Linked DNA regions of Lonchura striata. The protein of the gene in region 1 interacts with the protein of each later gene in a biochemical or structural test. Links are inferred from orthologs where the notes say so. Each region holds a gene or a part of one and is shown in the gene's direction. Other genes may lie near its edges.

What was found.
Region 2: the proteins of RIPK1 (region 1) and CRADD form a complex in vitro, tested with the Homo sapiens proteins (2 studies listed by BioGRID). The link is inferred for Lonchura striata from reciprocal best matches to the Homo sapiens genes RIPK1 and CRADD.
Region 3: of the proteins of RIPK1 (region 1) and OTUD1, one has a biochemical effect on the other in vitro, tested with the Homo sapiens proteins (2 studies listed by BioGRID). The link is inferred for Lonchura striata from reciprocal best matches to the Homo sapiens genes RIPK1 and OTUD1.
Region 4: of the proteins of RIPK1 (region 1) and TNFAIP3, one has a biochemical effect on the other in vitro, tested with the Homo sapiens proteins (2 studies listed by BioGRID). The link is inferred for Lonchura striata from reciprocal best matches to the Homo sapiens genes RIPK1 and TNFAIP3.

What each region holds. Positions count from the first base shown.
Region 1 is NC_134603.1:94,905,284-94,912,982, reverse strand, and holds the start of RIPK1 (receptor-interacting serine/threonine-protein kinase 1), read left to right. Parts: upstream 1-4,219; 5' UTR 4,220-4,300; intron 4,301-5,088; exon of another isoform or gene 5,089-7,699. UniProt on the Homo sapiens protein: Serine-threonine kinase which is a key regulator of TNF-mediated apoptosis, necroptosis and inflammatory pathways.
Region 2 is NC_134607.1:53,675,957-53,684,098, forward strand, and holds the start of CRADD (death domain-containing protein CRADD), read left to right. Parts: upstream 1-5,028; 5' UTR 5,029-5,165; intron 5,166-5,569; exon of another isoform or gene 5,570-5,651; intron 5,652-8,142. UniProt on the Homo sapiens protein: Adapter protein that associates with PIDD1 and the caspase CASP2 to form the PIDDosome, a complex that activates CASP2 and triggers apoptosis.
Region 3 is NC_134603.1:139,206,756-139,214,879, forward strand, and holds the start of OTUD1 (OTU domain-containing protein 1), read left to right. Parts: upstream 1-4,761; 5' UTR 4,762-4,772; coding exon 4,773-6,044; 3' UTR 6,045-8,124. UniProt on the Homo sapiens protein: Deubiquitinating enzyme that specifically hydrolyzes 'Lys-63'-linked polyubiquitin to monoubiquitin.
Region 4 is NC_134605.1:51,071,857-51,080,045, forward strand, and holds the start of TNFAIP3 (tumor necrosis factor alpha-induced protein 3), read left to right. Parts: upstream 1-5,012; 5' UTR 5,013-5,367; intron 5,368-8,189. UniProt on the Homo sapiens protein: Ubiquitin-editing enzyme that contains both ubiquitin ligase and deubiquitinase activities.

The sequences.
Region 1 (7,699 bases):
GGGTCAGGATCTATGGGATAAATGAATTGTCTGGCTCTTAATATCCAGGATTTTTACCTGGAAATGTAGCAGTGTTATTTTTGTGCTTTAGAGTTGTTAACCCTGTTTGTGCATATGGCAAGGGGGTGGGTTTCTCACTTAGCTACTGAATTTCTTGCTTTGACCAGCTCACCTAACAGCTGCCTTTGCACTTTGATATTAAAAGACTGTGGCCACTGTAAGAACCCATTCCCTGAGTCCCTGTCAAAGACAACTAAGCCTCTATGCATCTGCCATACCTGCTTTGTGGCAGTCTTATCACACCCCAGCCTTACAGTTCCTTAGGGACTAATTGGATAATAAACATGCTGAACCCAAGCTCTGGAGGCTCTGTGTAAACTGATACACCAGGCTGGGAAATGCCACCACAGGAAAAGGTCAGTCTTCCTGTTTGCTCCCATATGAAGCAAAGGGCCACATTCAACAGAGACATTTCCCAGGAAGCAGAGCTGCCCCAAGCTGTTGCAGATGTCTGCTGTGAGGTACGTGAGCCAGAGTCTTTAGGTTGCAGAAGCAGAAAATTTGCTTTGTCTCAACAGCTTTGTTATAGGAAAAGGAAAGTGAAAAGGAATAAGGAAGAAAGTACTACACATCTAAGTTGTGGAGAAAGCAGATTCATGCCTTAAAGACTTAAGGAGAACAACTTAAAGTTACTGAAAGAAATCTGAGCACAAATTTTAAAATTGCATAGAAGAGAAATCATCCTTCTATTCACTGTGTTCAATTAGCAGACTATTCAGGAAAGAAGGAAATTGAGGTAAAAGCAGAAGTTGCAATGTCAAACCAATCTTACTGCTTGGGATCAATTGCAGAGCTTAGTGGGGTTAACTATTAGATGAAGAATGTCAGACTGACCTGTATGTTGAGGATACTGTGCTTGACACTATCTGGCAGACACATGCCAGCTCCCACACATGGTAGCACTAAGTTTAGTAAGTTGGTTGAGATTTGTAGTACAAAGTATGTGAATGTTGAGATTAATGCAAGTTCAGTTAAAGTTGAAAGAAAACTAATGGGCTTATTAAATTCTCATTAATACTAAAATTGAAGACTTCTGCTCAGATAAATTCATTATTGAGAAAAGCACTAAAAATGTACCAATCATTTTGTCCATTTCAAGAGAATCTTTCCTTCTCCTCTATCAGAATTAAGACATTTCTCTGTAAATTCAGTTTGCATTTCTGGATCAGTTTATTTTCCCTATTCATTTAATGAATTAATGTCAAAACTGGCAACACCAACCTCCAAGCACATACAAATAAATGACAAATAAACCTCTTTCTTTGCATAGTGATTGTTGGCAAATCACCACTGAATGAGACTGACAAGTTTTTAACCAAGCAATTCTAATAAATTCAGCTATCTCTCTTCCCATCTTTAGACCACACCTTTGGCCCCATACCCAATGCAAAGCTAAACAGCAGAAAAAGCAAACCAGACAAACCAACTGACCATAAAAAGGGGAAAAAAAACCCTTAGAAGTCAAATGTAATCCAAAGTTTTCTGTGATGCTTGGGCTTGCAGAAGACAAAAACTGAATAATTGGCCCACCAGAGATGGTGGCCAATTATAACATATTTCATGTCTATATTTGCATTTGCTTTATTTACCTGACAAATGTCCCAGACTCTCTGGACTGCAGGTTCAATAAAGCTCTCCTTGTGATACCTCACAGTGTGGATGGACATAAAATTGCAGCATTTAAACTACAGTGAGCTCAGTGTGACAAGTCAGCATTTGGTCCTGAGTCTCCTCTTTACAGTAAGTGTGATCAGCCCTTACATCAGGAGCTGTCGGAGCATTAAACTCCAGTTTTGTCTGAATACCAGCTAATCCAGCATGGGTGGAAAACAGGAATGTGCTGGTCCTGCATCAATTCTTCTCATTCCACTGTCAACTTCCGTTTTTCTTTTTTTTCTTTTTGCAAAATCCTAGAAAGAAGTTGTTTATTCAGTTTGCCCATCATAGGGCAGTTTCATAATCAGAGAGAAAAGTTCTCCTTGAAAGTGATCACCAAGGCTGTGCTATCTCTCCAAACCCAGGGTCGCCCGCATCGTTCCGTGTCCCACCTGTCTTTCCCATGCGACACCTTCCAGAAAGCCAGAAGGGAGGAGCCCCTGCTCCCAGCAGCCTTGTGTGGGCCAACACAAGGCACAAAGCAGACAGTGCCATCCCTGGAAGAGCAGATAAGGGTAGATGGATGGTTTAGGAGCTCCTATATTGCATTGCTGACCATCAAAGGAAAAAATTTAAAACATAGTTGTGGGCTGATGCTGCCCTACCACGTTGATATGCTGCTGCTCTTCTGTCACTACCACTTGAAAGTATCATAGGGAATGCAACAGTTCTCGAGAGTGGGAAAGATCATGGTAAAGACATTAGACACTCGTTATCACCAAACTTTTCAAAGAGGAATGGCAGTGGGAAGGCCCTTCTGTAAAGAAGCTGTATTAACTACATACCTGACATCCAGAAGAGGCTGAACTACATGATTTACAGTGACTCTTTTGGTTACGTATTCCTGCAACTGTCCCTAGGGCTGTCATCTGTGTTAGTAACTCTGTTGACAAACAAACTCCTGCCTCGGGCCTTCCTGAACACAAAAAAATGCCCACATATCCAGCACTAAATATTCCATAGACAAAGGTATTTCCAACGCCTTGAAGTCCCACCCTGCTCTCAGAATCAATAGCATCAGCAGGTTTTCAAGGCTCATAATGCCCAGAGAGCTCAGGCAGTGACAGGATCATGGTGTGGCACTGATCGGACTGCCCAGATAGCTTGGCAGGTGACAGAGTTACTGTGTGGCACTGATCACAGCCCCCAAACAGATGGACCAGCATCAATGTGTGGCATCAACCCTAGTGCCCAGAGAGGTGAAGCAGAAACAGGGCTACATTGTGGCAGTGATTGAAGTGTCTAGGGAGCACAGGAATCTACAAAGTTGATTCTTGGGAATTATCATAGCGCCCAGAGATCTCAGGCAGTGACAAAGACATGATGTGGCATGGATCATAGCGCACAGAGATCTCGGGCAGTGACAGATTCTCTTGCGGCACCAATCAGGGTGCCTAGAGAGCTGAGGAAGAGACAAAGTCACTTGTTGGCAATTATCATAGTGCCCAGAGAGCTGAGGCAATGATGGAGCCACCGTGTGACACCGATCACAATTTTCAGAGAGCTCAGACAGGGACATATTCTCTGCTGGCACTGATTGTAGTTCCTGGAAGACTGGAGCAGTGCCAGAGTCAAGACATAGCACAGATCAGAGTGCCCAGAGCTAAGGCAGTGACAGAGTCATATTGTGGCATTGACGGGATCGCCCAGATAGATCAACAGGTGACAGAGTTACGGTGTGGCACCTATTGCAATCCCCAAAGAGATGGAGCAGCAGCAGTATCAAGATGTGACACTGATCGTAGTCCCCAGAGAGCTGTAGAAGCAACAAAGTCACTTGGCAATTATCGTAGTGCCCATAGAGCTGAGGCAGTGGCAGAACCATTGTGTGGCACCGACTGCAGTGCCCAGAAAGCTTAGGCAGGGACAGATTCTCTGCCAGCACTGATCGCAGTGCCCGGAGGGCTGGAGCAGTGACAGAATCACGGTGTAGCACGGATCAGAGTGCCCAGAGAGCTCAACAGGTAATAGAGCCACTGTGTGGCACGGATTGGAGTGCCCAAGCATCTCGAGCAATGACAGTCACCATGCAGCAGTGATCGCAATGCTCAGAAAGCTCAGACAGTGAGAGAGCCATGGTGTGGCACCGATTGGGCTGCCCAGATAGCTCAACAGGTGACAAGAGTTATGGTGTGGCACCCATCGCAGCTCCCAAAGAGATGGAGCAGCGGCAGAGTCAAGATGCGACGCTGTTTATAGTGCCCTGAAGGTTGAGGCAGTGACAGGGCCACAGGGTAGGAGCAACTGGTGTGCTCAGACAGCTCAGGAATCCACGAAGTCACTTCTTGGGAAAAATATAGTGTCCTCACAGAGCTGAGGCAGGGATAGAGCCTGTGCGCCACCAATTGCAGTGCCCAGAGAGCCCGGGCAGGAACAGATTCTGTGGCGGCACCGCTCGCATTTCCTAGAGCACTAAAGCGCTTAATGCAGTCAGTGGGCGGCACCCGCGCCGCTTCGAGCCTTCCGAGCCGCCTCCTTCGCTCCGCCTCCTCCGGGACCGAGGCATAATTGAAGGGGCGCTGGGGCGAACCCCATTGCCAGCGGCCCCCGGAGAAGCGGCAGGACTCTCAGAGGCCAGAGCACGGTAAGGCAGGAGCGCGGAGCGGGGGCAGCGCAGTGTCCAGAGAGCTCAGGCAGGGACAAAGTCACGTTGTGGCACCGATCGCACTGCCCAGAGAGTTCGAGCAGCGACACAGACACACGGTGGCTGACGGAGTCAGGCTATGCCACCGATCAGTTTGCACAGAGAGCTCGAGCTAGTGCCACAGTCATCGTGTGCCACCGATCACTGTGCACAGACAGGTCGACAGACGACAGAGGTACCGTGTGGCACAGATGGCAGTGCCCAGACAGCTCGGCAGGTGACAGAGGCAGGGTGTTGCAGCGATCGTACTTACCGGAGAGCTCGACAGGTGACAGTCACGGCGTGGCAATGATCGTAATACATAGAGAGCTCAGGCCGTGACACATTCTCTTGTGGCACCGATCGCAGTGCTCAGAGCTCAGGCACTGAAAGATTCTCTGCAGACACCGATCGTAGTGCCCGGAGGGCCGGAGCAGCGACAGAGTCACGGTGTAGCACGGCTCGGAGTGCCCAGAGAGCTGAGGCAGCGATAGAACCATCGTGTGGCACCGACCGCATTGCTCAGCGAGCTCAGGCAGGGACAAAGCCAAGGTGTGGCTCGTGGATCGTAGCGCCCAGAGATCTCAGGCAGTGAGAGATTTTTCTGGCGGCACCGATCAGGGTGCCCACAGAGCTGAGGAAGCGACACAGTCACTTCTAGGCAAGTATGGTAGTGCCCAGAGAGGCGAGGCAGCGATAGAGCCGCCGTGTGGCGCCGGTCGCAGAGAGCTCGGGCACTTTAAGGAGTCACTGGGCGGCACCCGCGCCGCTTCGAGCCTTCCGAGCCGCCTCCTTCGCTCCGCGTCATCCTGCTCCGGGACCGAGGCATAATTTAAGGGGCGCTGGGGGCGAGCCCCATTGCCAGCGGCCCCCGGAGAAGCGGCAGGACTCTCAGAGGCCAGAGCACGGTAAGGCAGGAACTCCGGAGAGGGGGCAGCTGGACGAGGCCGCGCTGCTGCACCGAAACCGAAACCACGGTGGCGACCCCGCGAGCGAGGGTGCGAAGGGGGGTGACGTTCCGAGGTGAGATGGCCGGCGGCGGTGTTAGCGCCCCGTCCCATCCCGCAGCGCTGCGGAGGGGCTCCTGGGCACGGCGAGCGGGAAGCGCTGGGCGAGGGCGCGGTACGTAGAGAGGAGGCGGCCGCGGCGGCAGGAAGCCGGCGGGAGGAGAAGGGCGATAAGGCAGATGGGCCGACGAGGAACTAGGCCAGAGCAGCCCCGCGTTAGCGCGTCCCGGCTGCCGCCCAGCAGGCGCTTTTGGCCGCGCGAGTGGCAGCGCCCGCGGCGCCCGTCTCCGACAGCTACGGCCCGGCGCCGCAGCCGAGACAGCCTTTCCCGATCCCCATATGGAATGCACACTTTTGTGTCCAGAACCGACTGCAACACCTTTGCACGGGTACTGGCTACTGCACAGATCCCATCCTTTCCTCTTCCCACGCTGCCTCTGCTCCTGTGAAAATTTGTGTTGCATAACACCTTTGTTTCCCTTGTATTGGCTTCTCCTCCCTTTCCCACGGGTTCCTGTGTAACTTGTTGACGATCTGACACAGGTATTGTCTTTGCTATTTCCAAGAGGAAAAAAAAGTGGGGGGGAAATCATTCCTTAGTGAAAAGATGCATCAGCTGAAAAATCTGAGCAGAAGGGAAAGGTTTAGATGGAGTGGGTTATGACATTTACAGCAACAGATCTGAGATACCCTGTTTTGAAACATCATTGACAGAGGCAATATTTTTGTTATCAGCTATAGCAACCCTTCTATTTGTCTCCTGTTGGTCATTTGGGAATACCAACTTTGGCTTCTGTTCTTTATTCCGTTCCATTACTGACTAATAACTCAGTGGCCGCTGAGTTTTGCTGCTTGTAAAGGTGCTAATTTTCTCCAATTAAAGTTTAACACCTCTTAGAAACTTAGGTGCTGGAAGCATCATTAAACTACAAAGGTTCCATGTTTTTTCATATTACTGTGCTAATGTGCTCAGTGCTCCTCCTTAACCAGGCAGGCAGGTCACATCATTACAGATTAGAATTTGCATCAGATCAGATGCAGTTAAAACTGAGCAAAGCACTTTTGAACAGTGATTAGGAATATGACATGATGACCTAATGTCCAGGTTATGATTCTTGTGAATTTATATGCCCTTTAGGCATTAGAGGAGAGGACATAACCATGGTGTTAAAAAGAAAAATGCCACAAACCCATTTAGCACAGTTCTATCCTCTTCTGAAGAACACCAGTCATATTGTTGGACATAACTTCCTCTCTTCTAGCAAATGGTATTCAAAATTTTCATAACACATGTTGGTACTTGGTAAATATGAACCCAACCGAATACAAATGTTCAAATAGTATACAGGAAGAACTGCTTTAAAATTAATCAAGTATACAGATGACAGCTACTTCACAGAACATAAATTAACCACTAGAAGTATGCATACCTTTTGTAAGGGCTGGCTAAATTAAACTACAAAATTTTTATTATCTTAACCACAGATACATAATGCATTAATTGGTGTGTCCTTAGTATTGAGAATACGTATCAATTACCCTGTATTTCAAAGAAGGTTGGGGTGACCCTGAGTCTTTGAGCTTCCATCCTTGTTTTTTTATAATTTGACATTTCAAGCTATCATAAGCCAATATCTCATGTTAAATAGAATAAGTAGTCTTTGCTTTAAAGCCTGGCTAGACATTGTTTTCCTGTGATACTCATTCTTTGAAAAGTTCCCCAAAACACTGGGTTTGAAATAAGTAATTAGATAGAGAGCTTCTATTCAGAGTACCTCATTACTTAATAAGAACACCAAAAAAAAGCAGTAGCATTTTTCCATGCGCAAGGGGGAAGGTTCCCTCCCATCTAATAAAAAAACTTCCCTCTTCTTGAATGTTACACAGCTCACTTCAACAGACATTACAATTTTAAGTTATTATTTCTTTTGAATTTCCAAGACTTTTGGTCATAGTGACTGCATGTAGCTTGATTGGAAGCAACAGGTAATTAACATTGTAAATAGGAACAAGGTTCTGCATTTGTTGCAGTTTTGGGCAGAGATATTTTTTGCCAGGTTATATGGTACTGATTGCCAGTCCCAAGCTATCAAGTGATATCAATGCAACTTTAGAGATTCACCATTCAAAAGTACACATCTTCACACACAAGTCTTATAACTACTACCTAGATGCTTAATTGCTGTTAGCATGGAAAAATTAATATACATAAGTGACTTCAAACTTATTCTTGGAAGGGACACCCAGATAAAGAAGCATGATGTTAGTTTATGCCATGTTTGACTCTCATGACTGAATTTATGCCCTTGTACATGTGACATCCACCCTATCTGCACAAAAGTCAGTATGACCA
Region 2 (8,142 bases), on another chromosome or scaffold:
ATTTCATATACTGTAATTTGCAAGTAAAGTAAGTTGGTTTTGTGAAAAGGTTTCAGACTTCTGTCTTTAATTAGTTTATTTGCTAGTGTTTGATTTTCGGGTTAATTAGTGAATTTTCTTTGTTCTCATATTAATAAAATGGTGCTTTACATTTAAAAATCATTTAGTAAGTCTGGAATAAATAATAAATAATAAGAGGCTTGCAGTATTTCATCCGTCTCCTCAAAGAGTCTTTAAATTAAACTTAAAAATAGAGAACTACATTAATTCATATGTTTAAAGGACTACAAATTCTGAGAAATACTGAGTCATGTTTTGCAAGTATTAATTACACTTTTTTTTTTTAATTCACTGGATTTTTTAAATGAAATGTATACAAAAGTTTTGCAGTGGATGCCTGCTTCCTTTTTATAATTATTTATCATTAAACTTTTTGCTAGAGATTATTTGTATCATAGTAAAAAGCACTAAGAATTCATTGCAGTACTGCTAATAAATACTTATTTTTATTATGGAAACAAATGTAAATGTATAGACACTACAGAGTCAGTTTAAACCCTATGTTTTAAGATGCTTTAGAACTTTCTGTGTTATATTTTACCCACGTGCTGGACGTGCCTTTTAATAAAATACTACTTTCAAGGAAGTTCATGACGTGTCACCTATATTTTATAGTAATTCCTCTCTTTGATCTGCATTGAATTTAAAGTCTTTATTATTTAAATGAATGAAAGTTACAGAGTATCAGAACAATTGCACAGCAGCCCAAGGGCCAATCCCTTTCAGTGATGTGCTTCAGTCCTGCCTGTCATCTTTTTTTAGGAAGGATAAGGAATCATTTTTCGAGTAGCAAAAGCCACCTGAAGAGCTTCTCAAGAGCACCCCTTCCCATCTGAGCATCTAGTGCCCTCATATCCTGCCAGCATCCAGCACAGCATGCCTAAGATTTGGTCTACAGTTTGGGGAAACTTTCTATACCAAACCCTTCCCTTCCTTGGCATCAGCCAGGTTTTCAGTGACTGGCACAGGAGATTTGGATGTTAGCATTACAGAGGCCCACGGCTGCAAAGGGGAGTGCAATGGGGACCAGGGGAAGGAGGAAGAGAAGAGGGGGGAAGGGAAGGGGTTACTGCCTGGGATAGCAGTGGACAGCAATGGTTTGCAAGACCCTCATCTGGCCTTCAGGCCACCTAGTTTGGCTCACCCTAACTTACATTTTAACACTGTTTTTGAGATGCATGACTTACAGAAATGTTCACTGCACTCTTTCATAAAACTGACAGGCAAGCATACAAGATGTATTTCTCTTTTCCCTTAATTTCTGAGGTTTTGTGAGAGATTTAACCAATTAGATGTGCTTTTAATAAACAAATCTAGAGGCTCCTATTTTTTCTCTTGTCCCTAAAGCTGGAATGCTGTCCTGCAAACAATTGAAAACAGCACAATCCTAATACATTAAATCTGCTTGTGCCAGTTTTAAGAACACATTTGGCCTCGTTATCAGCATAAAACAAACTAGTCTGTAGAAAACAAATTACACACATGCTTAGATACAGCTTGACTCTAATTAGCATAAAGGATCCTCTCAAAAGCATTTAAAAAATCTCATTATTCTGGTACAGTTTCTAAAAAGGTTTGTGACTTTTAAGTGAGCTTTTAAAAGGTGCATAATAAATGTAAAAATCTGGCTTAACTTACATGTAAAATGAATAGCATTGCCAGAAGAGATACTGCTTAGCTTGGCTCCCAAAGATTTGGACTTGTGACCCTGAATTCAGCAGTCCTTAAAAGTGTGGCCTGATGAGCACCGATGGCCCCTCAATCTGCAGAACCAGACAGCACAAGCTTTTAAGACTAAAAGTCTGAGGATACTGATGCGGAAGATTGACTATAGTCCATTGATCATTGTATTCTAGGAAATAGTTCTTTAATCTACATGGTTAGCTTTGAGATTTGAGCAGTTAGTGGGGCATTGAATTGACACCAAACTGGCTAAAATATATATATATGTATTTATTTGTCCTTAAAACTGAAGTAGAACCAAACCATGTCTCTGAAGTTTTGTTGAACTTGGACCAGAAGTGGAAGACCTTTAGTGAGGGTTGAACCCAAAATGGACTGAAACAAAGAATTTAAGGACTTCTCTCCTTGGATTTAAAGTATTAACTCTTTGTGTCTTTATCCTGTACCTGTACTATATAATCAAAAGCTGTCTGTGTTGCTAAAGATGAACCCAAAACACAGTAGCATATTTAGTTTCCACTAAATAAATTTGCAGCACTAGTTATTAACTAGTGGGGGGAAAAGGAAGGGCCAGATTTTCCCTTAATGAGATTTGGACCTCTGGTGCTGTCCTCTTCCTTCCTAGGCTTATCTCTTTCCTTTCACTGCTTTCCTTCTTTCTATCTTTGTTCAGACTGCAAGCAAATACATGACTAAATGCTGACTGTATAACTGCTGTAATTTCCTTGAATGAAATCTGGAGTCGCTCTATGCATATCCATATGTTTTGCTAACTTTCTAAGACATTCTTGGATAGTATAAATTTAAAAAATCAAATTGCCTCATCTGGCAAAAGGATATAGTAAATAAAGTGATGTAACTGCTTGTCCTAATTTTCTATTTTAAAATGCAGCCACATTATCTGCAATTAAAAGCAGCTGTCAGGATTGCAATGATGAGATTTTCTGAAGCCTCCAAGTTTGGTCACTCCAATTCCAGATATAATACAGACCCTTAGATCATGACAGAAAGAAAGAAAAGGAAGTAAAGAAAAGAAAGGAAAGAAAGGAAGAAAAAGGAAGAAAGGAAGGAAGAGAGAGAAAACCAGCAGCACTGACAATCAGAAGTACAAGAAGCTGGGACAGGAAACTCTCAGTAGCTATGCAGTGCTCTGTTGAGGAACAATCATACAGGCAGTTTGTGGTGTCTCTGCTCCCTGGAGCTGTGCTGTACTGTTTGCAAACGTATCTCCTCACAACTAGTATTACAAACGTTGTGGCAAGAAAATTTAACACCACCTCAGTTGTACTTTGGCTACAACAGCAGCATACTTCTTGGAGTTACTGATGATGATGACTTACTTGTGTGGCTTCCAGTGTTGTCAAATATGTTAATGCATTGCTCTGAAACAACCCAGAGGAGTATTTAGATTTTTTTATATCTTCATTCCTAGAAGACTAACATGTGCCTGAGACAAAAAAAATATTTACCTTGGTTTACCAGCTGTATTGTAAGAAGATATTATTTATCAATTATTCACAAGCAATTTAACCCCCTGTATCCAATTTATTACTTATATATAATTATAGATAAAAGTGTTATGTCATGAAACCAAAACACTGCTTTAAAACTGCCAAATAAGTAGCATCCCTGCAGAAGCTGGCCACATGATATATGTATCTATATTTTTAAAACATTTCTTAAAACCAGCATACAAACTTTGCCTTTAAGGCTGATTTACATTCTGTGTCCACATAAATTTTCAACTGTCAGCCACAGGAAAATCAAAGGAAAAGGAATTAAGATTCCTGAGTGTGACTGCCTATCTTTATGCAAAATCTTGTAGATAAATATAATGTTAAGCATAGGCAGAATGTGAACTCTACTCTTGGTTACATTTTTCCATGGCAAGTACAGTACAGTACAGTTTCCTGGGTACAGTATCTAGGAAAGGCATGTAAAGGTTTCCACAACTAGCTTCCAACTACCCTTAAATATTTCAAATACCCTTAAATTTGTACAATTAGTCTAAACAGAGTGTACAAATGGGGTTCACAAGGTGACGACGTTTCTAGCAGCAGCTGCAGCAACCACTTTTCCTGCTTTTCCAGAGGGTAGGTATTAGCACGCTGTGCAGACCACAGCCAGCTTGCTGTGCCTGCCTGCAGCTTCAAAGGTAGTACGTTCCAGCACTGGAAGATCTTTTTTTTCCCCTTTCATCACTATTGCGGTCCCGACATGAAAGAAAAAGGGCTGACACCATCAATCCCGTGTGACACCTGACACCTATGCAAAGACGGAAAAAAGTTATTTCATGATGTGTGAGTGAAAGTGACACCACCTCATTTTTACAGCTCTGTGAATCACACTCTTCTCCTCTCTACCATATTTCGTTTCCAGGTATCCATATAAAAATAAGTGAATAATACACTATTCACTAGTAGAGGAATAAAACAACAGAATGTCCATAGCATTGTGGTAGACACAGGCCAGCTCTTAATTTAATAAATTATTTTCATCTATTAAAAGATTCTTCATTTTTAAGCTGTTCAGATGAAAGTAATGAAGCTAAATGTGTCCATTATTCGATATAATACTGCTCTGTGTTTGATACGACGATGCCAGCACCAGGATGAAGTTCAGCTTAGCGCATACTCACAGATAGCAACCAGTGTACCTAGGGAGTAATGAGATCAGCTGTTTCTAATATCATTAAAACTGCAATTTCGTAATTCCGAATTTAATTTTGGATACAACCCCTCTCCTCACTAAACACCCCCACCACCACCCTGACTCCTGATAGCGCAGCAGGTCCTCCGAATTCCTGGAAAGGCACCTCCTTGGCGGAGTCACCTCCCGTCCCCGCCCCGGCCCCGGCCGCGGCAAGGAGCAGCGGCGGCAGCGCCGGGCCCCTTCCAGCGCTCGGTCCCGGCCCCCGCGGCTGGCACTGCGGCCGCTCGGCCCCGGCCCCGGCCCCCGCGGCTGGCACTGCGGCCGCTCGGCCCCGGTCCCGGCCCCGGTCCCGGCCCCCGCGGCTAGCACTGCGGCCGCTCGGCCCCGGTCCCGGTCCCGGCCCCGGTCCCGGCCCCCGCGGCTAGCACTGCGGCCGCTCGGCCCCGGTCCCGGCCCCGGCCCCGGTCCCGGCCCCCGCGGCTAGCACTGCGGCCGCTCGGCCCCGGTCCCGGCCCCGGTCCCGGTCCCGGCCCCCGCGGCTGGCACTGCGGCCGCTCGGCCCCGGTCCCGGTCCCGGCCCCCGCGGCTGGCACGGCGGGCGCGGCCCCTCCCGCGCTCCGGCCGGCAGCGGCCGCCCCTCCTCGGCCGGCCCGCAGCAGGGCGGCGGCGGCGGCTTCCGGCGGCGCCCTGCTGCCTTCAACAAAGATGGTGCTTCCCGCGCAAGCTCCGCGGGCGCCGGCGCCTCCCGGGTAGCCTCCCGCTCCCCTCGGGTGAGTACGGGCGGGGCGGCGGGCGCTCCCCGCACGCAGCTCGCTTGCCCGGGCGCTGCCGACGGCTGCCCTCGGCAGCGCCTGGGGCGGGAGGGCCGGGGGAAGCGGGAGAGCGGTGCCGCGGGGCCGTTCGGCGGCGCCCCCGGCGCTGCGGGGCCGGGGCGGGGGCCGGGCTTCCGCGGGGAGGCCGGGCCGGGCCGGCGGGGCCGCCTCCGCGCAGCCCTGCCCGGCGGGAGGCCGGGACGGGAGGAAGGCCGGGCGCTGCTGCTGCCTGCGGGGCTCGGGCCGCGGTGCGGGCAGCTGGCCCCTGGCTGCTGCTACCCGAGCAGCAGCTGCCGGCGCTCGGCAGAGAAGACTTTAAAAGCAAAACTTGCCTTTTTTTTTTTTTTTTTTTTTTTAAATTTCCTGGCGGGGTGGGGGGGATGTGTAAGATTTTTGACCTGTAGGCTTGCTGTGAGTAGCCAGAATAATTCATGGGGTAGTCAGGTGAGTGCAGTTGGTGTTCTGGAAAACAATGAAATGTTTCTAGCGGAAAAACTTAAGTGAATTTGCCTTTTTAGTGTCAGCAGGGGTTCTTATAAAAAGTTTTATCCCCATTTATGTACAGTCACTCTGTCAGATCCAGAAAAAGGCAAACTTGATTGTGTTGATGTGGTGATGAGTCAAGGACTGCTCATTCAGCAGGTCATGGGCTATATTTCTTAAAATTTGGCTTTATAATGGAAAAAAATCCATTTTCAGAAGTATCTAGGGAATGTTTGAGTCATCTTTTGCGTAAATGGACATCTCATAGTTTTCATTTTCTGTAAAATTACTTGACTAAATTTAATTCAGAGCTTACTTTGAATCCGTAGATACAGACGGTGATTTAAATGAATTTGTTACTTCTGTGTTGCACTAAACTCTGTCCCAACACTGTTACACATCAAAATCCTGATATATTTCCATATCTAGCTGCTTAGTTCCTAAGTCAGACATTTGCTTATCATCGTAAACACATACAAATACTTTATCTTTAAAAAGACCTCAGAAACCGGTATGCCCCATCCTGGAAGTTTACCAGGCTGATGCAAGGACTTTAAACCCTCTGTTGTACACACTCTGCAGTCAGCAAGGCAAAGGGCTTTTGCAGCAGAAATTCCCCCTTCTGATCCCTGGCTGATAGGCATTTCTCAGTGCCCAAAGGTGCAAACCTTTGGTTTGTAAGATTTATTTTTGAAAAATGTTGGCTGCTTTGGTTGTGAAGAAGAGGAACTCATCAAGTTCTGTACAGTCATCCAGCATATGAGGAGGCTCCTGAATGGGGACTCTCAGGGCCCATTCAGAATATGCAACACAAAAATTTTTTAGTATGTGAAACAGTTTTCTGCCTGGGTTGAGATGACACCCTCAGAGGTGCTGCTGGATGCCTTTCTTGAACTCTGCAAGTGCTTCATGAGCTCAAGGGTGTTCTCCTAGAAAGAAGAAGTGGTAGGATTTACTGCCTGAATTTTGCTGTAGTCCAGAGATTGCTTTCTACAGTGTAAAGGTACTATGTGTTAGAGACCAGAATCTTCAGCTTCAGTGGGAAAAGCCATTTCTCTTTCTTGCCTGCTCTTTTTCCATCTCCTTGCTTGCACTACTGTCTCAGTCCATGATGGTGTTTGATGTTTGAACTGTGCTGGGTAAACTGGCATTTCTTAGGGACATAGCATAGGCATTACAGTGTTTGATTCCCACATGATCCCTAGACAGAAGGTAAGAACTAGAAATTCACTATAGTAGGTGAGAAATGCACTGGATAGCCTGGGAAGGATGGAGTCCTCCAGGAAGATACTTTCCAGCAGTGCTTTTAGCACTTGATGGAAGCATTTTTGGAAAGTAGCTTTGTCAGAGGATATCACAGACAGGGTTTTCCAGTGTCTCTCATGACACTGTGCTCTTGCATTCTGTCCAAGGTGGCATTTACATGCCAGTATGTTCTGTTAGTCACCCTCCTTGATTTTAACAACCAGGCCAACCACACAGTCTTTGATGGGGCTCTGGGAGTCAGCAGGCATCTCTGATGGCAAAAAGACTTCATCAAGTTTCATGTAAAAGCTTTGAGAATTCTGTCTCTTCTTGTACCCTCAAGCTGAATGAAGTAGAGTTTTTGCAAAGTTTAGCGGTTCAAACAGCAGTGCCTAATTTAATTGTGAGAAACCCTCTTGGTAATCACACTCAACACCTGCTGCTATTTTTTGACTTTATTATTTAGTAATGAGAAAGTATTTAATTGTGTTGTCCTGTCATTTTCAAGTGCCATTAAATGGGCTCAGGGATACGTTTGTTGTTAAGAACTAGACTAGACACTTTGATTTGGTTTGAAGGTCTGGCATGGACTGCTGACTTGATCTTGGATGAGCTGCTTGATCTCTCTGGACCCTGATTATTCTTTCATAGAGTGGCTATAAAATGCATCTTGAGCTTTTGTTTAGTCAGAGTGTTAGTCAAGTGAAATGGAAGCTGGCAGAGGGCATCTGATCCCTTCCTGTGAGCACATAAGAAGAGAGGGAGAAAAGCTATTTAAGCTAAAGAACAGTTTTGGCAGAAGATATGCCTATAAATAGAAAGGGATAAATCTGAGATGGAAATTCAAAGAAAGTTTCTTCTCATCAGAGCAGTTGAGTTCTAGAGCAATCTTCCCGGATGATTCAAGGGTGAGAACGACGTGGTACATAAGATACTTTTCTACCCCTCTTAAACTTGAACTGCATCATGTAGGCCAAAGCTACCTGCTGATTCTGTCCCTGCTGCTGCTGTTGCTTCTGCCTGGCTGAGATGAATGTACCTGTCCTGCTGCTGCTTTTGTAATTCTAGCAGTGGTCAGGTGTAACATCTCTTTAATTTTGGGGGATTGTGTCTCTTAAGGACTGGCAAGTGCTTTTGCTGCCTTTAGTATGGATCTTAACCAGTTAATAGGAGGATTATTTGGCACGGGTTTCACTCCAGCAGAGGA
Region 3 (8,124 bases), about 44 Mb from region 1:
CCTTGAGACATGAGCAAATGTCTATACTTATCACCAACAGCCCTTTTTCCACAAGCTCTTGCCACATGATGTCATAGCACTGGTTGCATCTCTAATGCCTGGTGCACCCATACAGTGAATAAAATTTTAATATATGCAGAAGCTGAACAACAAATTGTGAGGCAAAGATCTCTGAGACATAGCCCTTGTTTTAAGCAACATTTTCACACCTCAGTGTAAATTTGGATATAGTTTTCCTCCTTTTAATGTTAACATTTAGGGTGAAATACACTAGGTGCTTTAGTTAATACTAACACTTAGGCCATCACAAAGCAGGTGGCATCAGGAGTAGAAAAAAGACACTGGGAACGGGAAAGGGCAGAATTGGTTCTTTTGGCAGTTCTGTTGCCTTGTGACATCTTTATAGATTCACTGACCATACCCCAAAAATGTTACCTGTAAATGGTAATTTAATGAAAGAAATTATATGATGATATGATATGATATGATATGATATGATATGATATGATGATGTGGTGTGATATGATATGATTGATATGATGATATGATTGATATGATATGATATGATACGATATATATGATAATCTGGAGGCAACAGAGGATGAAATTGATGTTTTGTTCAGTATGTTCCTTCTAGTTGAAGTGTATAGGCATTTCTTCCCTGTATTGGAAGATTCTTGACATATTTTTCTATTTTCTAATAATTTACAAATTTTTTTCCTTGGTATACCACTTCAGATTATTAATATAAATTCAACATTTCATCTCCCAGCTACATACAAAAAGTTATTAATTCATGAAATACTTCAGTCAGAAATATATTTATCTGAAGGGCTGTTATGTCAGCACAAACAAAAACAAAACAAAAAAAAAATGGAAAGGCTAATTCAGTGTAATTCTCTACATAATTTTAACCAACTTCTTTCTTCACTAGCAAATGTTCCTGGTGATGTAATTAATTTGTTTCTTCTATGTCAATCATGTATCTACTACACATTAAAGTTAAAATTAGTTCTACTCTCATGCATTTCATTTTACGTCAGTGAATACCACTGTTGTTCCACAGCTGTTTTTGTGATTGTGGTTTGCCTTCTAAACAATCTAAACTATTCCTGGAATGTGCAGGGTAACCAGTGATAACAGTAATGTCAAGAGAAACTTTAACCACGGGAGATGTTTATACTTTATTACTGCAGAGATTGTTTTGAGATCTATTCTGTAAGAGCAAAGAACTTTACATTACCCTGTAATGAGTGAATCAGAAGCTCAGGAATATTACTCTGTGGAAAACAGTGAAGGGTATGTCCGTAGTGTGTTCTCCTCACTTTCCAAACACCTCTAGTGCTCGTGTGCCCATGACCTATGGGGAAAAGTGGACAGAAGTTGGAAATACAGGAGTTTTCTGGAAGTAACCGATACATGGGTTGTGTTTTAGCTGGGTCATATTAAAGGAAAATTTAGTTTTTTGTTGGAATTAACAGCAGTGCTACATGTAGCTGAAAGAAATGTTAAAGATCAATATTCTGGTAGTAAAAGGTACCAAAGTCAGAACCATGTGCCCCTGGCTTTTATAGAGACCTATTGCATTAAAGGCATTCAGATATTTTTTTGAAATTTCTATTTCACCAGAATTGTACTCATAGCACTTGATCATTCCCGGTCCTGCACCTGATGGTGGTGGATGTCCTTCCATGCAGGTGTTCAAGGCCAGGTTTTGAACAACCTGGTCTAGCAGAATGTGACCAGGAGCTAGATGATCTTTGAGATTCCTTCCAATCCAGGCCATTCTGTGATTACTCCCTGGTGTAGACCATGGTTTAGGATGTTATTGTTAAAACCTGTCAGATATCTAAGAAAATTACCTTTAGGAAGTGCTGATTCCTGGTAACTCCTAGTATGAGAGTTGAAAGCTAACCATGAGATGCTTGTGTGGCAGAGGCTCAATGGGATTTTTGTCACTGGTCATCCAGAGAGACTGGATTCCCCTCTGGCCAAGAATGTGTGACTAATTCTGGCTGCTCAGTTATGAAAAATGTTGATTGCATTACATTGTCAGTACTTAATAACAACACAGGTAAAACACACCAAGGTGAGCTTCTCTTTCCATTTACTTCACACAGGACATAATAAAGATATCAAAAGTAGTATACTATTAACATCAAGGCAGTGGTTACAATGTTTGTTTTTCTCTCTGTTACCTAGCAACAGATCTTGTTTGTATTTTAAGGTTATTAGTAAGCTTATTATGTGCATTTTAACTGAAAATTTAGGAAAGACATTATGTCTGCTTATAAGCAAAAATTGAAAAAAAGAAAATCTATCTGCTACCATTACAAAAACCTGCTGGCATATTTAGCATGTATTTCAGGATATTCTTTGGATTTCTATTCAGATAAACAAGTTTTCTTACCCAGAATCTTCTACATTAGAGCATCAGAATACTAGTACAAGGGTAATTTGGGCATAAAAAAAACTATTTCTCTCCTCAAATGAAGCACCACAAACTTCAAGTCATACCTCACTGTAACCAACAATCAGAATTAAGCAGCTGCCCACCCACTAATGTACCACTGTTCCAAATAACCTATGGTTTTGGAGAGGCAGAACAGTCATTAGCAGGAGTTTCTATATCCTAGAAGAAAGAAATTTGCAGTACTGAGCATTCAAAATGCAGCACTTGCTCCTGCTAGAAGTGCTCTTAGTCTGCTGCATCCATTTACTGTTCTGTAAGAGAAAGAGCTGCCTCTCCCTCCCCTCTCTCTGTTACCAGACTATTGAAGACTTTAAACCACCACCCTGTACTCAGCTCTGACATTTACTAGCAGACAGAACATTCACTAAACCAAACTACAGATAGCTTTTCTGAAAAAAAAAAAAAATGTAGCAAAAAACTGGCAGCATTGATATACATTTTACATCTTGATAAATGACCAAACACACAATGAAGAGCAACTGGCATGTTTTAAACCCACTTGGAAGGGGCAATTTCCAGTAGTTTTACATTAAATCTCCTATCAGTATATATATCAGCATATACATGTGAACTTGGAATATAGACATTGCCAAGTTTTGACTAAGAAATAAAACTAGACAAGAATCTTTCCTTTGCTCCAAGCCTCCATTTCAAGAAGGAAAGATTTCAATTTACTGCTATTTGGTCAATATATATTCCCCTCTAAGTAATGATTAGTCCAGAAATAAAGACTCACTGACTGGGCTCACAAACTATATTTAAAACAAAGTTCTGAACATTCTGAAATACAAGAGTCACCCTGTAATTTCAGAGCAGTTGTAATATCTTATCCCACTCTAACAGGCTGCCAGAAATGCTCCTGGATAAGGCCCATCACCATTTGTTCTAAAGATATCAACTTTTTGGCTGGCTCTGTCAGGTAACTGAGGACATTTGAACTTTGATTCATTATCAGATATACTTCTTACATTTCAGCTTTGAAGGCAAAAATTTTGGATATGTATTTAATCTGTAAAATTTTACAAAAAAGTTCTCAATATTGAATGCAATAAACTGCTGTGTCTTATCCATAACAAAAAAGATAAATATGAAAACATTTCCCATAAATATCCACATAACTTTGTATGAAGGATTTGAGCATTTTTTCTCCAATATGCAATTTAGCTGAGTGAGTCATAATATGTTTTCCATGTAAAGAGAATGAAATTCCATATTGTGTTACTGGTTGCCCTGGAATTAACTGCAGAGACCGAGGATAGGAAGTATATCCCTAAACATTGATACAAAATACAACCAAAGCTCCAAAGAAAATGATTTTGGATATTGCAGTATATTGCAACTGATCTTCTTATTCTGCCTTTTTAATTAATGGAATTAAATGGAACGAGGAAAAGAAACTTTTCAGAATATCCAAATAAAGGTTTTTTTTTTGTTGTTGTTTATTTGTTTTTAGAGTTGTACAATCTGTTTGGATTACTAAAACTTTCCTGAAGATACATGAGGCTGTGAGATGGAATCCAGAACTGTTTTTAAGTTATCACTTTGAACTTACATATGTCAATACCTTTTTTCCCATTTTGTTAGGAATGACTGTCTGTATTAGCATGTGATCATAGTGCAAACTGGTGTTTCTTGGTCAGCATGCCAGTCAGAACGCAGTCAAAATGGAGAGCGTACAGATGTCATCATTGTCCCTGGACAAAGGCTTTATGACTTTTTTTATACCGCAGCTAAGGCTAGAAGACATGGCTTAATTTTAAAGTGCTACTACCGGCGTTAATAAAACAATTATCAATGTTCTTGATGAGACCCATGTTCCAGAGCGTGTGTCTCCTGTTAACATGTGCCGGTTTATACCACGCACCTTTGCATGCATGTACTGCATTTCCCAGGGTGAGACTGCAGGTGGGCAAACAGCAGCCAGCGCCCAGAGCTGTCCCAGACGGAATGGATGCAATGACTTCTGTCCGTGCCCGCCCCGCAGAGCAGGAGCCGTGACACCGAGCACACGTAGGCCGGGGCAGGGCGGCGCTCGCTGACGTGCGGGCAGCCCCGCCTCCCTCCGCGCTCCCGCAGCTTCCAGAAGGGCCGGAGCCGCGGGGGGGCCGCGCCGGTGGCGCAGTCGGAATTGCTGCGGCCGCGGGGCCCGGCCGGGGCGGGGCGGGCGGTGATGCCCTTGTTTATTTTTACTCGGGCGGTTCATCCTCCTCGGCAGCCCCAGCGCGGCCCCCGCCGCCGCTCCCCGCCCCGGCTGCGACGGCGGCGCCGCCTATAAAGCGCCGCCCGCGGGGAGCCGAGGATGCAGCTCTACAGCTCCGTGATCACCCACTACCCGGCGGCCGCCACCGCAGCAGCCGCCGCGGCCTCGCCGAGCTCCGCCGCCGTCTTCAAGGTCTCCTTGTCGCCGGGACCCTCCGCCGCGGAGGCACCGAGCGCCGCCGACGCCGCGGGCCCGAACGCGGTCGCTGAGAGCTCCGGCAAGGAGAGCTTCGTTCCCGCGGGGGGCAGCAGCAGCGCCGCCGCCATGCCCGCCTTCTCGTCCTGCCTGGAGGTGATGCCGAGCGGCCCCGCGGCGGGGCCGGCCGGGCGGCCGGCGGGCGGCCCGCAGTTCAGCTCCTGCGCGCAGGTCACCGTCAGCCGCCGGCGGCCGCTGGAGCGGATCGTGCCCATCCGCATCGTGCAGCGCGCCGAGGCCGCCGCGGAGCTGGTGCCGGGCTCGCCGCGCAGCCGCGCCTGGCTGGAGGGCATCCTGGAGAGCGTGCGGCAGGCCGGGGGCGACGGCGAGGCGGCGGAGGAGCCCAGCAACCGCAGCCTGCGGCTCAGCGAGCACTGCCAGGCGCTGCAGGCGGCGGCCGCCGGCGCCCAGCCCGGGCTGGTTCCCGGCTGCGGCCCCGCGGAGCGGAGCGGCGGCCCCGCGCACGCCGAGCAGGAGGAGGCGGCGGGGCCCGACGTGCGGCGGGCGCCCGGCGGCAGAGCGGAGCGCAGCGAGAAGCTGGCGCTGTACCTGGCCGAGGTGGAGAAGCAGGACAAGTACCTGCGGCAGAAGGGCCGGTTCCGCTTCCACATCATCCCCGACGGGAACTGCCTGTACCGCGCCGTCTGCAAGGCGGTGTACGGGGACCAGCGGCTGCACGGCGAGCTCCGCGAGCAGACCGTGCACTACATCGCCGACCACCTGGACCACTTCAACCCCATCATCGAGGGCGACGTGGGAGAGTTCCTCATCGCCGCCGCGCAGGACGGGGCCTGGGCCGGCTACCCGGAGCTGCTGGCCATGGGGCAGATGCTGAACGTGAACATCCACCTGACCACGGGCGGCCGGCCCGAGAGCCCCACCGTTTCCACCATGGTTCACTACCTGGGGCCCGAGGACCCGACGCGGCCCAGTATCTGGCTGAGCTGGCTTAGCAATGGGCACTACGATGCTGTGCTGGACCGCGTGTGCCCCAACCCAGAGTACGAGGCGTGGTGCAGACAGACTCAGGTACAGCGCAGGCGGGACGAGGAGCTGGCCAAGTCCATGGCGGTGTCCTTGTCCAAGATGTACATTGAGCAGAATGCCTGCTCATGAGACCGCCTGGGCCGGGAGCTTCGCTGCAGGGACTGACAGAGAGGTGTGCTCGCTGTGATGGTGATGCCTTAATCCTTAATGAAGCAGCAGCACCCCAGACGGACAAAGACTGTAGGTTGCGGGGGGATAAATACAGACGTAGTTGTAATATTCTGTTGTAAAAACTTAGCCTCGGGTTATTTGCAAGCAGATTTCTCCGTGTATGTTTGTGTCTCCCCTCCCCACTGTCTGTTTTCTATGAGAATGTATTTTTTGCACACTATTTTTAAACTGTTACCTCCATCTTCTACATCTTGCATTAGTATCTGGCTTTCAGCTGTACAGCCAAAAACGTTTGTAAACAGTTTTTGTAAATAAGGCTTATGATGTAACAGCTATTTTTTGCTGTGTTTTTTACCCATAAACTTTATATTTTTACCAAATGAAGTTGATGTCAAACTGACCCCCCTAGTTGATGAAAATGTGTTTTTAAAAGTGCGGCAAAATGAGAACAGACTGCTTTTAGGAACAATTGCTTTCTCTGCCTGGAGCACAGAATAGGTCCTTTGAGCCAGTTGGAATGCAGCTACACGTGAACAGTGCAGGGAGCAATTGACTCTTCTGTTTTTAATTACTGTTTTGAGTAGACTGGCCTCTTGTTGCCTGGTTGGCTCACTCTCTGCTCCACTTACATTATTTATCTATAATAACAGAACATTAACTTGCAATAGAATGTTGTGACTAGATAATAGTCTCCTGCTTTGGCAGTAATTGCCGTGGCTGCACCTCAGTGTTTGTGTTCTTGTTTCTGGGGCTATGGTGTCTTTCGTATAAGCCCTGCTTCTTTTTTGGCACTGGTGTTTCACCAACAAGTCATTATCTGATCACAACATTTTATTCACGTGACTTTATTTTCTAATCAAGAAATCAGGAATGGTATTCTACATTATGGTTTAAAAGAAAAAAAATACTTAAATTGAGGTTTGTATGGTTTGCTGGGTCAAACATTTAAATGTCTCCAATCTGGATTCTGTCTCTTCTACTTTCTGATTAACTTGTTAGATATATTTATTAAGTAATGCAGTTTGTACTTTTTTATTTTGTAATATATTGTGATTTCGGAATTTATACTGTATTTGTATAATAGGAATATTCACAGCTAAAATGGAATGAATAAAGAATATAATTTTACTTGTGCTCTTCTTTTCTGCCCTGTGCATTCCTGGTGTGGGGAAGAATTGCGGGTGGGTTCACAGGATCTTTTATAGCTTCTCTGCCTTAGTCTCTCCTACTGAGAGGTGGGAAGAAGGGGTGTGGTACTTTACAGATGTAAACCACTGATAATTCTGGTGTCTGTTAATATGTGAAAGAAATGCAGGCATTTAAAGACAATTAAATATCTAATTATTTTCTTACTGCAAGAGATCTTAGTATATGTGTTTGCTAGTGAGAAACCATTTCCTATATTAATATGCCTTAGAAGGGGAATTCTCAGGCATAGTTTGTGAGCTCGTGGTGCCAGGGTTGGTGGTGAGCCAGCTCTGCTGGCCTGTGCACACGTGGGCTTGGACATTGGTCTTTGGGAACCTCCATTCTGCAGTTAGCCCCAAACTTGCTCGAGGTTTGTCCTGTCAGTAGTGATACCTTGGCACCCTCTTGTTACTCAAACACAGTAATGTTACAGGGAGGTACAGCTTTCTACTCCCCTTGCAAGATGGAAATGCCTTCCAGGTTGTTTAAACATGTTTAGAAAAGTGCACGTGTGTTTACAAATCAGTCCCTGATCTCAAAATGGTAAAACGTCTTCATCCTTAAACAACAGAAGGGTACTAAAGTTATGATTAAAAAGTAACTAAATAGCTGAAATGCATCAGTCTTAGTTGAGCACCTGTGATAGATCTGCGGGACTGATGTATATAATTATTACTGGTTTATGTGGTACAAAGAGTAGATTTAAATATTATGTTATTTTCAAAGCATTGGTAAATAGAATATTTTTATTTAATAGAGTATGTAAACAGTGGTGGAAAACCCCCAGTCTTTCTAGTCCACTGCTGCTTAACCCATGAATCTTCGGAAAGCTGAATTTTGAGGTGAGAGC
Region 4 (8,189 bases), on another chromosome or scaffold:
GAAAGTTTAACTGACTGCATTAGAAGTTGAAATTTTTCGAGGAACAGAGGAGAGAGGAGTAAGAGTTTTAATTAAGTAAGCATTTGCTAGCTGCATTCCTTCCCATCCACTCCCAGTGGATATAGCTTTGTGCTAAATGCTTACTTCATACCTAAAGTTAGAATAGCTGATCATCTCATCAGATAGGAATATAGAAAGGAAAATAACAGTAGTCCCTGCTTGATTTCACATGAGGCATTATCTTTAGCTATTTATTTGTTAACCACTTGCTGACTCATGAATGCTGAAGTGATGGCTGAAGCAAACAGCTCCAGAAGCAGACTCTGCTTTAGAGTCCCCTCCCATGATGTGGGCTGACATTTTGGCAGCACACCAGTCATGCCAACCTAAAGATCAAGTTAAAAGCTGCAATGATTGGGCTTGTACTACCTAAACCCAGCCACTGCACTATGCATTAAGGCAGTTTTGGAAAGCAAAGACATCCCTGTGCAGTGCTATCTATGCAGTGCTTTATGCTTACAACCCTCAACCTAAATCAAAGACTATTGTGACAGTAGTAGTTCACAGTTAAATGAAGTCTGCTACACATGGATGGTGACTCTCTGGAAGCAGAGACCACACTGCATGGTAAATAACCATGTGTCTAGGTGTTAAAGTACAGGAAACACAACACAAATAAACAATCTATTCTAAAGAGTCTGTAGTCAAAGTTAAATATGCATGATAACAGAAAAGTGTGAGAAAAGAAACATTCACAAACTTACCATACCACTCAGAAACTGAGGTACCAGAATGTAAGCCACAAGAAATCCCACAAGAAACTGTGACAAAGCACAGGATGGAAAAGTATTGGGAACAATCCAGCCTATTTCCATGCTCTTTCCTGGACAGTTTCTCAACCTCTGTGAGAAACAAGGCAGTGAGGTCAATGGACCTTTGATTTGGCTTACTACTGCTGTACATATTCAGTTTAGCCACATGTCTAGTCTGAGTCTGCATCAAAATCTACTGAAATCACTTTGCTCTCCAAAACAGAAATAATATTGGTCTTCCTCTTATTTCTTGCTGGCGCCTTGTTGGAATTGTCTGTACTGTGCACTGAAGAGGGTCAGTAACGCTGGACTGTGCTGCTGTCTCTAATGCAACTATACATAGCTATGTCTGCAGTTTTTAGGGGCCCTGAGAGTTGCTGCAGTATCTACAGATATCAGAGGAATAAAAAACAAGTTACAAAGATCATAATCGCTTAAACTTTTTTATGCACTTCACAGACAACATTGCTGAAACTTATTTACAGACCAGGAGGTAAGTATACGGTGTGGTTAATGCCATACTTAATCCCCTTACAGGTAAAAAAACCTGTTCTTAAAAATGTCTAGTGCTTGCCTCCATAGCTCATTTTTCACAGTGCTTCACCAGCCTTAATGGGGGAATACCACGCTTACAGCTTAACCTTCAGGTTAACAAAAGGGGCTAAGGCAAGATTTGAACTTTCAGCTTCTTTGAACCCACTGCAGTTCCAGACCTTTACTTCTGACACTTCTCTCACAAATATTAAAAAGAAGGGGAAAATAAGCACACACACAACAAAAAGGGAAAAAAAAAAAAAAAAAGCAAAGGAAGCTTTGGCCCCCTGGGCCATAAATAAGAATCCCTAGTTCCAGTACAGTCACTTGCCAGAATACCCTGGTAAACCTCTTCTCTGGAATCTGTAGTTTCTTTTACTGGATTCAGATGAGTGTAATGGAAAAAATCCCAAAACCAGTTCAGCTCTTGCTATCTAAGTGGCAGACATGATTTGGGGTTTTTTGGTTCTGTTTGTTTGTTTTTTTTACCGTCAATACTTGATTCAGTAATAAGCACCATCTTTCTGTCTGATAAATGTTTAGGGGATATTCCCCCCTCTCTTTCCTTTGCACTGACAAGCTCTTATCACTTTTCCACCAGGAAAAGAAGCAACGGAACAGCTCCTGGAAGACAGAAGTGCTGAACTCAAGCATGACCTCAAGCACTGCTCTTGCATTAAAAGGGATTTCCCTTTAATGATCCTTTTCCTCCCTTCTAGATGAATCACACCTCATACAGAATTATCTGATATTAAAAGACACAGCAAATGATTGAATTATTAAAAGTCTGTATGTCACTATGCATAAATATTACTATAGTCATCATCCTAGCATTGAATATTATATGAGTACTATCTTAACTATGAGTCTTTCTTAGTGCAGCCTCTCAAACATTTGGCAATGGTGTTCTGAACACTCTGAGGTCTTGGTTTAATTTAGTGAGTGGGAACTACTCCTTCCTGAACAGTAAAAAGAAGCAAAGTAATTAAAATAATTTAGAGATATAGAGCTGAATGGGGCCTTGAGAGATTTCTTTTTTTTCCCAAGTACAATAAAGAATTGTTATTGATTTATGTGCATGAAACTGATTACTTAAATTTTCACAAAAAATGGATATTCTGCAATTCCCAGTGACAGCTTTCTCCAGGGTTATGTAAACATTACCACTTACAAGGGTGGACTGTTTCACCCTTATGCTTAACCAGAATGTAGATAGCTGAAAATGAAAGTATTTCTTATTCTGTCCTTAATACCAAGAACTTCCCTCTTCCCTCAAGAGAAACAGACATGCATATATACCTAAAAATATATGTGCATATGTACATAGTTATGTGTATGTATATGTGCGTATTTACATACGCACTTTAAAGAAGAAAATTTTCCTTGACTTTATACATCTGTCTCTATGTTTATATCTAATGAAAGATAAACATTTTACTATAAATTATGAGATAAACTATAGGGTACAGCTACAAAAAAAACAAAACCCAGGAGTCATTCAGAAAAGAGGAATGTATATTCATGCATTCTATAACTACTGATGTTGCTGATGTTTCTAATGTATTCCTATATTGCTGAGGAGTTATGGTTGACAAGACAGAACTTTATTTTGTGCTGTGCAAACTCAGATCAAATGAATTCCTGCCATCCTGCTCAGACCTGTTTGATAAACATCTGCTCTAGCAATGTGCAATCAACTTTGAGTTTATCAAGGTGTAAACAGTAATTATTAATATTCAGACACGCTTACCATTTAGAAACCAAAAATAAGCTGTTGCCTTTTCAGGTTTTCCTGAGTCTCAGCATCTCCATCATGGCTAGGTCTACTTGTTAATTTATTTGCTGCAGCTTCCTATACAAAGCAGGGTACAACTCAGCTCTTTTTTCCCTACTCCCTACCTTAGCTCATCATTCCTACTCAACAGTGAAGCCCTCCATCATTTGAAGTACTCTCTGTAAAACTCTGTCGGGGGCTGGGCTTCATATTATGTGAGAGAAATGTTTTGATAGAAACATTTTTTTTTTCCTCTAATCAGATGACTTCAGTAATCTGCTACCTCAGTCCCAATGAGAGAGCAGGGGAAAATGTCCAGGAGAAGGGAACCGGTAAGATGCTGACAGAAATATATACTGTATAAATCACAGCAGGGATGCTGCCCTAGTTATGCAAGCCCAGTTCCCTCAGGCATCCAGTTCCCTGGATTTTAGCCACCCTTCAGGTTATCAATCATTAAATGTGGAGCCTTCCTACCCAACTATACTTTCCAAGACAATAGAGAGGCTAGGGGAACAAAAAGAAAAAATAACACACCCACAAAAACCTTTAAAAGAAAATTATCCGAGGAGAGGAGGAAAAGAAACCTGGAAGGGATTATTCTTTTCCTGGCCATATCCCTGACTTCTTTTTGAACAAAGGCAGAGGAGAAGGATGGGCTGCTGTGCAGAGCCAGCACAGGCCTGTAAACCCTGGGAAAGATCATGTTGCCACATAAGCCTGTTGTGTGACATGAGCAAATGATCTGAGCCAGCTGCTGCTACTGGGAGTGAGGTGAAGGAGTTCAAAGCTGAACTCTTCCAAAATCCACCTGTTCTCTGAGGAGTCTATATTTAACACCTGATTTCAAGGTGTGCAGCAACCCTGGCTTCTCATCTTGCCACTGGGAGAGGTGGATACTCAGGAACAGGCAAGAGCTCATTATCTGGGAAGATGAAGTGTTTTAATCCTGCAAGAAACTGTATTTCATTTCTGTGTGCCTTCAGATTGTAAGGCTGTTGAGCTAGAAACTGCCCCTTTTCCAGCATACATCCCATCCATAAATCATATTAACAGGCCTTAAATATGGGGGGTTTGTTTAGTGAGGTTTTTTCACTGCTAATATTTCACAATATTAGCACATTGTTTAAAGGTGTGCATTGTTTACAATAATTAATTTTAATGATTCCTATAAATTACTAGTTGCAGTCAAGAAATTACAATCATATTCAGACACTTAAGATCTCCCCAACTTGATAGTTTTAGCCCACGGTTCTGGTCTTTACCTGCAACAATCTGACCTTGAGCAGGGCCAAATTAAAACACAATTAACATCTCCTGCCGAAAATACCAGCAGATTGGGACTATGGGGTTCTATATCGGCCTAACCTCTAATTGAAGAAATGAAGTCACTTGTGGTTACGTACAATACAGAGCCAAAACGGTGGAGCACATACAAGCTAAAAAAAAAAAAAAAACACCCACAAAAAAAAAATTGCTTGGGTCTGAAAACCGTCTGGAAGAACAATACTTTCCATGGGACGGGCCCCCTTAACGTGCTGCTGGAATGCTGGGGCAGGGATGCGGGCAGCTACACCCGAGCACCCGCACCCCACAGCTCCGTCCGTGCTGGGGCAGGCGCTGCCACGCGTGCCCGTGAGCGGAAGGGCTGCGGGGCACCGCCGGGGCGCCGCTCTGCGCGGCGACAAGGAGCTGTTCGGACCCAGCGACGCGACACCGGGCCGGCCCGTGAGCGGAGCGAAGCCTGCGGGACGGGATGGGCAAGCCCCTGCCCGGGAGGAAAGGAAAAAGGAAGGAAGACACGGCATCCCGGCTCCCGAAAATCCCGGGGGTGAGTCACGGCGGGCGGGGAGGCGCCGGGACTGCCCGGCGGCGGCGCCCCCTGGCGGCGGCGGCCGCGGGTGTTGTCACAGGCCGGAAAGTCCCTGTGCTCTGCCGGTGGAAATCCCCGGTGGGGGTTTTTTGTGTTGTGTTTTCAATCTGCTTGCCTTTTTTTTTTTTTTTTTTTCACCCAGGCGCTTAAACAGAAAGGGAAAAAAACAAGAGGCTGGGCTCAGCCCTTCATTCCGCAGCGGCGGCAGCGGCAGCAGCAGCTCCGGCGGGAAGAGGGTGGAGAGAAGGGCAAGAAGGAGCTCCGGCGCGGTGGGGATTGATGGATTCCGGGCGCGGCTGCGTCCCACCGCCTCAGCCTCGCTGCTGAGAGGAGTCGCGGCAGGATCGGCCGGAGGAGGAGCCGTCCGCGGAGAGGTGAGCGCCGCTCTGGGCAGGGCACGGCGGAGCCCGGAGCGCTTCTGCAGGAGGGCGCCTCGGGGACCAGGCGGGTCCGGCGCGGGCGGGGACGCTGTGCCCGCCGTGCCCGGCCCGGCGCGCAGAGCGGGCACGGCGCGGCCGAGCGTGCTGCGGTGCCGCGGGGAAATCCGCCCCGGAGCTCCGGGCTCCTTCTCCTGGGAGCTGCACCGTGTCGTGGCCGTGCCGCCTTGCACGCCCAGCCCCCAGCGGAGTTGTAGGTCAGGGAACCAAGAACGCGGAACACTTACTGCGTGTAAACCAGTGCTGTGGGATCTTTAAAAGAGCCTCGCTCCTCGCCTTCCGATTTGGCAAAGAGTAGTACTGTGTTTTGGTTTGTGCCGAGCAAAGGCACAGGCACTTGTAGCACTTTATGGAGAAGTTTATTACTTGCCGTTTTTCAGATAGAGGACAGAAAATGAAAATAATTTATGAAACCATCGGCAGATCTCAGAACAGTATTCCTCTTTCCAGAGCCCAGCATCCTCAGCATTACACCTTTGGAAAGGATGCTGTCTCTAATTATTGTTTACAGCTGTTCCTTTCTGGGAATTCCTAGTCATTACTTGTGAGAAGGTTAAAGTAGCATAGCACACAGCAAAGCACAGTAGACTATAAACTAATAAAACTGTAGGTTAGTTTTTTACTTTTAAATCTCCAGCTTAGATGTCAGTTGAATTCTGTTTGTTTCATCACATTGATTTTGAAAATAAGTGTTGCTTGGCTTTTGCCTTTGTTCACATTTATTACTGTAAATAGCACAGGCAGTAATTTCCACGTGTGGAGGGGAAAAAATGCTAGTAGAACATAGTATCGAATAATGTAGTTTCAGTGACTGCTTCTGTAAACTCAGTGTTTTTTGTTACTTAATGCTGGAAATAACCATTTCAAGAGGTGATGCCGGTAGTGCTTAGTCATGTGATTAGTCTTTATTAGTGTAAAAAAAATCCCATTGACTCAATATTTCTACTAACATAAGTAAGGAATTCAATATTTTAGTCGTCTCAGAGCAAAGTAGAGCTGGGTTATTACACAGTTTAGTAAGGAGTTGTTTATATTTCCTTTTTAGACACATTCATACATTTAAATACAGGATTACATAAATAGCATGTGTAAAACTATATTTATGAGGAAAGTGGATGAGAAAATACACAATTTTCATTTTAAGGCTGTGTGCTGATGGGGGAATGATAAGAATATGCCATCTTTATTCCCTAAAGAAAAGCTTTTCCATATGTTGCAAGATGTGACAGCTCTGCACACGGTCCCTAGTGTTCGTAGGGCATGTGAATGACATCACCCTAAAGTTGGGCTTTGTAGCATCACCTGTTTCATCTGCCTCTAGAGCTTGTCGTGTTATCCTGTATCTCTCCAGCAGCTGGTTCTCAGAGAGGTTATAGAGCTCAGCTCTTGGCACCTGGAGTTTGAGGTCCCCTCTCACCCTGAGAGGGTCTTTTCAAAAGCTTTGGCTGGGCATTTGGAGGTGGATGTTGCCAATGGAGGTGTCTGGGTGAAGAGGAGAGAGCAGTTGTTTACCTGTGGGGAAGGAGGTCCTGAAGCCCTTCTGTGCAAGAGGGGTCTTCTGCCTCCATAGACGTGGGAATGCCTTCCTGGTCAGTCTTGTCAGGCTTCTTCCTCTCTCCGTGACTCCAGTCTCCATGAGAAAACGTCCTAATAGTGGCATAAACAATTTTTGGTTGTTTCTTGTATCCCTGTACTTGATGTCCAGAGATTGATACACATATATATGACTTGATACTTGTCCTTAGATTCATAATCACAGTGGCGGATTCTCTTAATATGACTAGTTGTACTCTAAATATTTTAAGCATGCATACTTTTATTTGTCTTGACACAAACTTTGCTTTGCTTTTAAACAAAGCAAGAATGTTTGTGGACAGCATGGAGAGTCTCTCCCTGTAAAAACAGGTTATTGTTGTTATTTTTGTTCTTACTGTAGTGGACAGGGGTTTTGAGGGATGTGGTCTGTACGTTTGGCTCTAACTAGCCACAAAGTTAGTGTCCTCAAGTAAGGATTTCTTTGAGTGTAGCAAGTTTGAGATGTTATGGGTTTCTTTTTTTGTTTTTCCTGCTATACCCCATGAGGCCAGAGTTACTGAAGAAAGGGATGCAGAGCAGCAAACATTACATGTCCTACTGTGGAAATATATAGGGGGTTTTGAGCCAAATGGAAATGCTCTGTTGACTTACCACTGAGTAATAGTGGCACTGCACCCCCACACACCAGCATAAGCACTTCTGAGCCATAGCTCTACCACTTACAAAATAAAAAGAGCCTCAAGAAAAGTAACCTAAGCCTGTCCTCGAGTGACAAATTCCTCATCTACCATATCTGGCCACTGTAAGTATGAGACTGATACTAGCACAGCCTGCAATTATTTGTGCTTTTTCTGTACTCTACTGACCATCACTACTCAGAATGTATGAGCTGTAGAATCTGAAATGGTCTTTAACTGCTTTTTTTTTTTTTTGGCATGTTATCAAAACAAGAGCTTGAAATGTCCTGAAATTTAGCAAGTGCATATGGGATTACAGTGTACAATTATCAATTAGTTAAGTTTCCAGGATAATTTTCCCTTCCTTCAATCTTGTCTTCTCTTATCCTTATTTTTATTTAATTGCTTTTTTTGAATGATGATGCAATTTCCTTAGTTATGCATAAATCCTCTTCAATATCACAGTAAATTATATCAGCAAATTAGTGGGATAAGCTGATCAGTGTCTGTATCTGAATAATGCAGAAAAGTTAGTGAATATGAGCT